Linked DNA regions of Callithrix jacchus. The protein of the gene in region 2 binds, or shares a complex with, the protein of the main gene of each other region. Links are inferred from orthologs where the notes say so. Each region holds a gene or a part of one and is shown on either strand. Other genes may lie near its edges.

Evidence for each region.
Region 1: the proteins of ITGA2B (region 2) and ITGB3 are in contact, whole or in part, in a cryo-EM structure (PDB 8GCE), measured with the Homo sapiens proteins. The link is inferred for Callithrix jacchus from reciprocal best matches to the Homo sapiens genes ITGA2B and ITGB3. Residues at the interface, in NP_000410.2 of Homo sapiens: Gln49, Phe52, Arg72, Trp141, His143, Asn145, Glu152, Ala153, Glu154, Lys155, Pro157, Arg184, Phe191, Tyr197, Glu199, Phe202, Pro217, Tyr221, Phe222, Phe262, Asp263, Tyr265, Tyr268, Thr290, Trp293, Thr294, Gln315, Met316, Ala317, Tyr319; in NP_000203.2 of Homo sapiens: Ser188, Pro189, Tyr190, Tyr192, Ile193, Ser194, Pro195, Pro196, Tyr204, Asp205, Met206, Arg242, Asp243, Pro245, Lys279, His281, Ile282, Ala283, Leu284, Asp285, Arg287, Leu288, Ala289, Gly290, Val292, Gln293, Pro294, Asn295, Asp314, Tyr315.

The regions. Positions count from the first base shown.
Region 1 is NC_133506.1:87,132,339-87,136,508, reverse strand, and holds the start of ITGB3 (integrin beta-3), read right to left. Parts: upstream 2,941-4,170; 5' UTR 2,906-2,940; coding exon 2,827-2,905; intron 697-2,826; exon of another isoform or gene 590-696; intron 1-589. UniProt on the Homo sapiens protein: Integrin alpha-V/beta-3 (ITGAV:ITGB3) is a receptor for cytotactin, fibronectin, laminin, matrix metalloproteinase-2, osteopontin, osteomodulin, prothrombin, thrombospondin, vitronectin and von Willebrand factor.
Region 2 is NC_133506.1:71,216,338-71,219,978, forward strand, and holds part of ITGA2B (integrin alpha-IIb), read right to left. Parts: coding exon 3,572-3,641; intron 2,898-3,571; coding exon 2,830-2,897; intron 2,696-2,829; coding exon 2,548-2,695; intron 1,980-2,547; coding exon 1,887-1,979; intron 1,237-1,886; coding exon 1,157-1,236; intron 219-1,156; coding exon 138-218; intron 17-137; coding exon 1-16. UniProt on the Homo sapiens protein: Integrin alpha-IIb/beta-3 is a receptor for fibronectin, fibrinogen, plasminogen, prothrombin, thrombospondin and vitronectin. It recognizes the sequence R-G-D in a wide array of ligands.

The sequences.
Region 1 (4,170 bases), about 16 Mb from region 2:
ATTTTTTTGCTGAAAAGTCTCACGTTTCAATAAATGCCAGCAGTTCCCACATGGGGAATAGGCAGTTTCCCTAAACAGAGTCATTTCCCTGCTCCCACCTTCATTTCTACTAGTGGCCTGAGCTCCACTCTGCTACTCTGGGACAACCTTTCTGTGCCATTCCCATACCCACTCCCACCAACTGCTTGCTTCCCCCCAGGGATCTGATGACCCTGCCACCAAAACTGGGATGGCAGTTATAAATATGGTAGAAACTGCTTTGCAGGGCTGGGGCCAGGGTAGTACTCTGGAAGTCTGACTTTAGAGCCTCTGCCCTTAAAAACTACCCTCTGCAGCTTCTCAGAGAGAGTGTGGGGCTTGCTCAGCACAACCCATCACCACTTCTGGAATTGCCCCAAACACAAGATTAATCTGTGAACCATCTCCTAAGGATTTTAATTATTATTTTTAGTAGAGATTAGGTCTCACTATGTTGCCCAGGGTGGTTTCAAACTCCTGGGCTCAAGCAATCCTCCTACCTCCACCTCCCAAAGTGCTGGGATTACAGGCATGAACCACTGTGCCTGACCAGATATCTTTTTTTTTTTTTTTAAATATGGAACGCTTCACGAATTTGCGTGTCATCCTTGCACAGGGGCCATGCTAATCTTCTCTGTATCGTTCCAATTTTAGTATATGTGCTGCCTAAGCGAGCACCTGACCAGATATCTTAAAGGATCTTTTAATGCAAACTTAGGTGTGACAATGCAGTAGAATCCAATACACTCAAAAGTGAATTTAGAACACTGTGAAAGTAAGAAATGCTTAATGACAGCAAAAATTGTTGTAACTGCATGGAAGCAGGCATCTCTGTAAGAGACAGCTGAGCGGCCCTGGTGTATTTCTCCATTCCCTGCATCAACAGCCAGAAGCATCTGAAACAAGGTTCCATATGTCCCAGGGCAGAATGCTGGAGATTCCTATTTCCGCGTCACAGTCAGCAGCCTGTTCACTGCAGGCTAACCCTACCAGCTGATCTGTTTTAGTCTCTATCACATGAAAAGTTCAACAATAACCACTGCAATATTCCCCTATACAACAACTGTAATCCCTCCTTCAAGATACCCTGGCCCTGTCCAGGATAAGATATACGTCTATACACAGAAGAGTCTTGAAGAGAATCACTATTTCGAATCGTTTATCTTTGAAGTGAACTTATCAACAAATCTTCCCTTTTTAAAAGAAATCCTGGCCAGGTGCGGTGGCTCACTCCTGTATTCCCAGGACTTTGAGAGGCCGAGGTGGGTGGATCACTTGAGGCCAGGAGTTCAAGACCAACCTGGCCAACATGGTGAAACACCGTCTCTACTAAAACTACAAAAGTTAGCCAGGCGAGGTGGCAGGCGCCTGTAATCCCAGCTACTCGAAGGAAGCTGAGGCAGTATAATTGCTCAAACCCAGGAGGCAGAAGTTGCAGTGAGCAGAGAACGCATCACTGCACTAAGCCTGGAAGACACAGTAAGACTCTGTCTCAAAAAAATATAAAACAAAATAATCCCTTCTTCAGGGTCTAGATGGTTTTATGGGTACTACAGTTTTTATTAAAAATGCTTACGGCCGGGCGCGGTGGCTCAAGCCTGTAATCCCAGCACTTTGGGAGGCCGAGGCGGGTGGATCACGAGGTCAACAGATCGAGACCATCCTGGTCAACATGGTGAAACCCCGTCTCTACTAAAATTACAAAAAATTAGCTGGGCATGGTGGTGCGTGCCTGTAATCCCAGCTGCTCGGGAGGCTGAGGCAGGAGAATTGCCTGAACCCAGGAGGCGGAGGTTGCGGTGAGCCGAGATCGCGCCATTGCACTCCAGCCTGGGTAACAAGAGCAAAACTCCGTCTCAAAAAAAAAAAAAAAAAAAAATGCTTACATGAACTCTGTGTCATCCTCTGAGGCAGAGGCAGCCCCAGCGGACCAGGAGCCAGGGTTTCTCCCCACCCCAGGCAAAATCACCAAGGGCTCCGAGAGGACCACGAGCAGCACCCCGGGCTGTGCCGGCTCCATTCCTCCACCCCAGCACCAACGCGGCCGAAAGCTGACTGCCCTGACGGCTGACCGTGTGCGCAGCAGCCAGAGACGAGGCCAGATATCCCACCGGCTCAAGGGAGTCTTTTCGTGGCTCCCCGAATACACTAGAGATTTTTTCGGGTGCAGGGTCTGCCCCGGGAGCAGAGGCACCCGGGAAAACTGGAGGAGGCAAAGCCCTCTTCCTGCTCCAAAACAATCTCACAGGAAGCCAAGTTGAAGAAAAAAAAAAAGAAAGGAAAAAGAAAAAACCTTCTGGAGAAATCGTAACACCAGGAGAAACTGGAAATGTGGGGAAACTGGCAAACGCGCGCGCGCGCGCACGCTCTCACCCAAAAAGCCACAGCGGCATCCCCCTGCCAAGGCACGGGAACAACCCCCGGAAGCCCCACCTTGCCTTGGCTCCCGGGCCAGTCGTTCTTGGCCCGGCCGGGACCACCCGCGAGGCGCTCAGCCCGGGCTGATCGCGGGGCTCAAAGATGCTCTGACCGCACCGTGCGCGCCGAGGCGGCGGGGAAGGCACTGAGCCTGGCTGAGGGCTTCGGCGTCCCGGAGGACCCGCCCCTAGGCACTAGACACCTTTCAGCCCCGCCACTGCCTGGCCTGGAAGGTCCACGGCTCCCGGCTCCGGCCCCAGCCGGGACCCGCACATTCTGAGCGCAGACGCGCAGGACCAGTTCTCCGGGTTTCCCAGCTCCAAGTCCGCAAGTTAACCGCGGCGCGGATCCTGGAGGAGCTGCTCCCCGCAGAGCCAGAGCCTCACTCACCTCCGACACCGACGGCCGCCAGCGCCCCCAGCGCCAGCACAGTCGCCCAGAGTGGCCGGGATCGCGGCCGCGCTCGCATCTCGTCCGCCTCCCGCCGCGCTCCGCCCGCCCCACAGTGGGCGCCGCCGCCCGCGGCCGCTTTTCCCGCAGCCGGAGGGGAGGGGACGCCGTGGGTGGGACGCAACGGGGCGGGTCGCGGATTCGCGCTTCCTCCCCTAGGACTTCTCTGGACCCTGCCCCTGACAGGGAGCAGTGGGAAACTGCGGCTCCTCTTCTCCCCCCGCCCGCCGGCTCCCGCCTCCCTCGCCTTGCCCACGGGGAGCCGCCTGCCAGCCGGCGAGGCGCCCAGGCCTCGAGGAGGTCGTGAGCGCATCCTAGTCCCGGGGATCTGCGACTGGGCACTTGGTGTGCTCAAAAAAGCCAGGAGCCTGTGGCCCCTCTCTTTACCCTTCCAGTCTCACCTCCTGGGAGACGCCCCCGGGCTCTGTTTCACCTAGATTCTTGGGACATATTCACCCACTACCTCGAGTTTCATTCATTCCCACTGTAATTCATTTGATTGACAAACATCTGTTGAATGCCTTCTCTGAACTGGTTCAGTCCATTATTATTCACTAATTTTTTTCTTACCTTAGTTTGGTTTTCCGTTTAACTTTAAGCCTGTTGAGGACAAAACCACATCCCAAGCTTGTGTAAGCAGTGATAGGTCAACGAAGAGCCTCTCCCTACAAGCACTTGCTTGCACCCAGCCAGTGTCGAAAACGTTTCAGAACAGTCAGCATATTACCTCCAAATTCACACTCACAGGCTTTGGGGCTTTATCTATTTCCCTCAAAGGCCTCCTGCCTGACTCCTCCAACCTGTGGCCCCTTAACTCCTACCCTAGTCTTTCTTTAGGCCCCTGGATCTTCCCCAGACTTAAAACATCTGGAAGCTCAGAGAGGCAAAATACTATGGCTATGAGCAAGAGGCCACCAGGAAGTAGCTGGGGCAGTGCAGCCCATCTCAATGGGTAGCTCTGATGGTGATAAAAACAAGGCCTGAGGCATCACTTCCCCTGTAGGGCTTTCAGAGCGGCCCTGGGCTTCCCTATGACCTCTTAGCATGCCCACCCTCTTCTGAGACACACAAGATGCTGGACAACTGACCCTGAACCGTCCCTCCAGCCTATCTCCCACCCTAGTCCAAGAAGATACTTGTCATTCCCAAATGCTCCATGCCTTCCTATCTGACTGATTTTCCTTCCTTTTTCCACTTGGAAAATTCCACTTGTTTTTCAAAACATCTCAGATGCCATCTTTTCCGTGTAATTTTTTCTGACAAACCCCCACGTCCAGCCCCACC
Region 2 (3,641 bases):
GGCTGGAAAGGAGTTCCTACAGGTGCCCAAGACCCCCAGAGAGAGTGTAATGGCCTGACTGGACTGTTGGGGTCCCCAGCGCCCCCTGGAGTTTAGAGCCCTTCTGCCACCTCCCTTCTCCACCCCTGGCCTCTCACCCTCGAAGCTCCACTTGGGCCTCTGCCCAGACTGGCACCTCCAGCAGCACCATCTTGCTGTTTGGATTCTGGCTGTTCTTGCTAGAGGGGAGGGGATGAGGAGAAACCGGGCCATGGACACCAGCCCAGTGACTCTCTGGGGATGAGGCCAGAATTTTAGAGTTCCGAGAGAACTAATTATACAAACAGCATGCCACACTGAGTGAGACTTGAGAAAGAACTTCCTGTAGGGCTCTAAGACTCAGACACAGTCTCTGAGGAAGAAAGGGAACCGGGCTTTCTCAAAAGACCCTTTTTTTGAGATGGAGTCTCACTCTGTCACCCAGGCTGGAGTGCAGTAGCCCAGTCTCGGCTCACCACAACCTCCACCTCCTGGGTTCGGTTCAAGTGATTCTCCTGCCTCAGCTTCCTGAGTAGCTGGGATTGTAGGCACACACCACCACGCCATGCTAATTTTTGTGTATATATATATATATATATATATATATATTTTTTTTTTTTTTTTGAGACGGAGTTTCGCTCTTGTTACCCAGGCTGGAGTGCAATGGCGTGATCTTCACTCACCGCAACCTCCACCTCCTGGGTTCAGGCAATTCTTCTGCCTCAGCCTCCTGAGTAGCTGGGATTACAGGCACATGCCACCATGCCCAGCTAATTTTTGTATTTTTAGTAGAGACGGGGTTTCACCATGTTGACCAGGATGGTCTCGATCTCTTGACCTCGTGATCCACCCACCTCGGCCTCCCAAAGTGCTGGGATTACAGGCTTGAGCCACAGCGCCCGGCCCCTTAATTTTTGTATTTTTAGTAGAGATGGGGTTCCACCATGTTGGCCAGGTTGGTCTCCAACTCCTGTTCGCCAGTGATCCGCCTGCCTCGGCCTCTCAAAGTGCTGGGATTACAGGTGTGAGTCAATGTACCCATCCTCGAAAGACCCTTCTGTATGGAAGGGACCTGAGGGGCTCTGCTTGGGGTCAGACAGGGGAAGGAGGTGGGTAGGCGTGCTTGCCAGGTCAGTACCTCCGGATCTGCAGCTGGAAGGACACAGACTCTACAGCCTCTTCCAGATTCCCCACACTCAATAACATCGCGATTCCTATCTGGGAGACAAGGAGAGCCAAGATCGATGACCAAATGCCCACTTCAGGGAGCCCTGCCCTGAACATGGACTCCAGTCCTCACCCTCCAACATCACCATGAGTATTTTTTTCTTTTTCTTTTTTTTTTCAAGATGGAGTCTCACACTGTCGCCTAGACTGGAGTGCAGGTCTCACACTGTCGCCTAGACTGAAGTGCAGTGGCATGATCTTGGCTCACTGCAACCTCCACCTCCCAGGTTCAAGCGATTATCTTGCCTCAGCCTCCCAAGTAGCTGGAATTACAGGCGCCTCCCACCACAACCAGTTAATTTTTGTATTTTTAGTAGAGATGGGGGGGTTTCACTATATTGGCCAGGCTGGTCTCGAACTCCCAACCTCAGGTGATCCGCCCACCTTGACCTCCCAAAGTGCTGGGATTACAGGAATGAGCCACTGCACCCAGCAGGTCACCATTATTATTTCTATTTTACTCGGAAGCCCACTGGGTAAAGGGGCTCAGAGAGGGAAAGTCATTCACCCAAGGACATGTGGCAAGGGGGTGTGAGGACCAAGGTTCTGGCCCAGAACTATGGCTCTAAAACCTCACCCCTAAAATCTGGTTGTTCATGAGTCCCCAGTGGAGACTTGGCACCATGACCCAGCAGCCTCACCTGAGCGTTCTTCTTCATGGGGTTGCCCAGCTCACACAGTACCACGCTGGTCTCATTCTCCTTCTTCTGATTACAGATGAGTCTCTCAAAGCCCTTCAGGAAGGCAGTCCCAAGAAAGAAGTTGGTTACAGAGCATCATATATATATTTAAGCTCCCTTGGAAGGTCTGGAGAGATTTGTGTGCCAAGGCAGGGAGGCAGGTTTCTTGGGGTGAGATCTCAGGGGACTGTCACATGCTAGTGTATGCATTGCTGTAGCACTATTACTTTTCATGAATTTTCATTTTGAAAATAAAAAACACAAAACATTAGAGTATGTCCCCATTATTATAAACTTCATTAACAAACATAAAAAATAAATATATACTTATGTGAGTGCCGGTCAATATTGAGAAAAAGACTGGAAGGAAATCCACCACAGGTGAACAGAGGTTCCTGTTAACATTTGGTTCCTAAGCCTTTTTTGTTTTTCTGGTTTTTATAGTAGAGTTCTGGAATTCTGTGCCATTAGCAAGGATTCCTTTTCCAAATTAAAAAAATAATACATTAGATCTTTGACAGCAAAGCAAGAGAGAAGAGGGACTCTCAGGGAGGGAGATGAGAGAGCCGAGGCTGCAGCACTCCCCCAGGTCCCAGGTACTGCTCCAGGGTGGGGGCCTCACCTCGACGTTGCTGAGGGCCCGCATGTAGTGGGCCCCCTGGGGCAGGTGCACAGTGAGCTCTGCTTCATAGGCCCCCTCGCCCTTGTTGGCTGCGTCCATCTGCAGCTCCAGGACGTTATCTGCTCCAACTAGGAGTGGGGAGCCGGTCCTGTGGGGAAAGAGGAATGAAGCCAGGGACCCTGGGTCCAGGCCCAGGGCCTGGGAGGAGAGGGCGACTCAGGTGGGGAGTGGGTATGACGGGCAGAAAGGGCCAGGGTTGGGCAGAGTGGGAGGCCTCCTCACATGTTGGCAGTGAGCTGAAGCTGGGGCACACACACGTCATCTTCCCCGCAGTCCAGGATGATTCTCGTCTAGAGGGGCACATTGGGGTGTGTGAGTAAGCTGGGGACATGTGAGGTTTGGGGATTACATCAGGGTTAGGAAAACAGTGAGCTTGGGGGTTCACATAGGGGCTTACGGAGTAAGAAGATCTGAGGCCGAAAAGGGAGTTTGGAGATGGTATCAGGGCTCTGGGGTTTATTTGGAGGTTTGGGATAATTTTGGCGTTTATCAATTTACATCAGAGCTTAGGAGATACTGGGATTTTGAGGGTTTTTTTTTTTTTTTTTGAGACAGTCTCACTCTGACACCTAGGCTGGAATGCAGTGGCACAATCTCTGCTCACTGCAAGCCTCCCAGGTTCAAGTGACTATCCTGCCTCAGCCTCCCAAGTAGCTGGAATTATGGGCATGTGTCATCACACGTGGCTAATTTTTTTATTTTTAGTAGAGATGGGATTTCACCATGTTGGGCAGGCTGGTCTTGAACTTCTGACCTCAGGTGATCTGCCTTCCTCGGCCTCCTTAAGTGCTGGGATTAGAGGTGTGAGCCACTGTGACTGGCCAGATTTTGAGGTTTTCATTAGGATTTGGAATGACATTGAGGTTTTGGGGTTCACAGTATGACATGGCACTAACCCTAATCCTGACTTGCTGTCAGGGGTCCTGCACCTCTCTTGCCTGTCCCTGCCTGTCCCTGTCCCTACCTGCTCCTGCACGTGGGTGTCTCCATGCAGCATGACAGCAGGGGCTATTCCAGCCTCCTTGGAGGGCAGG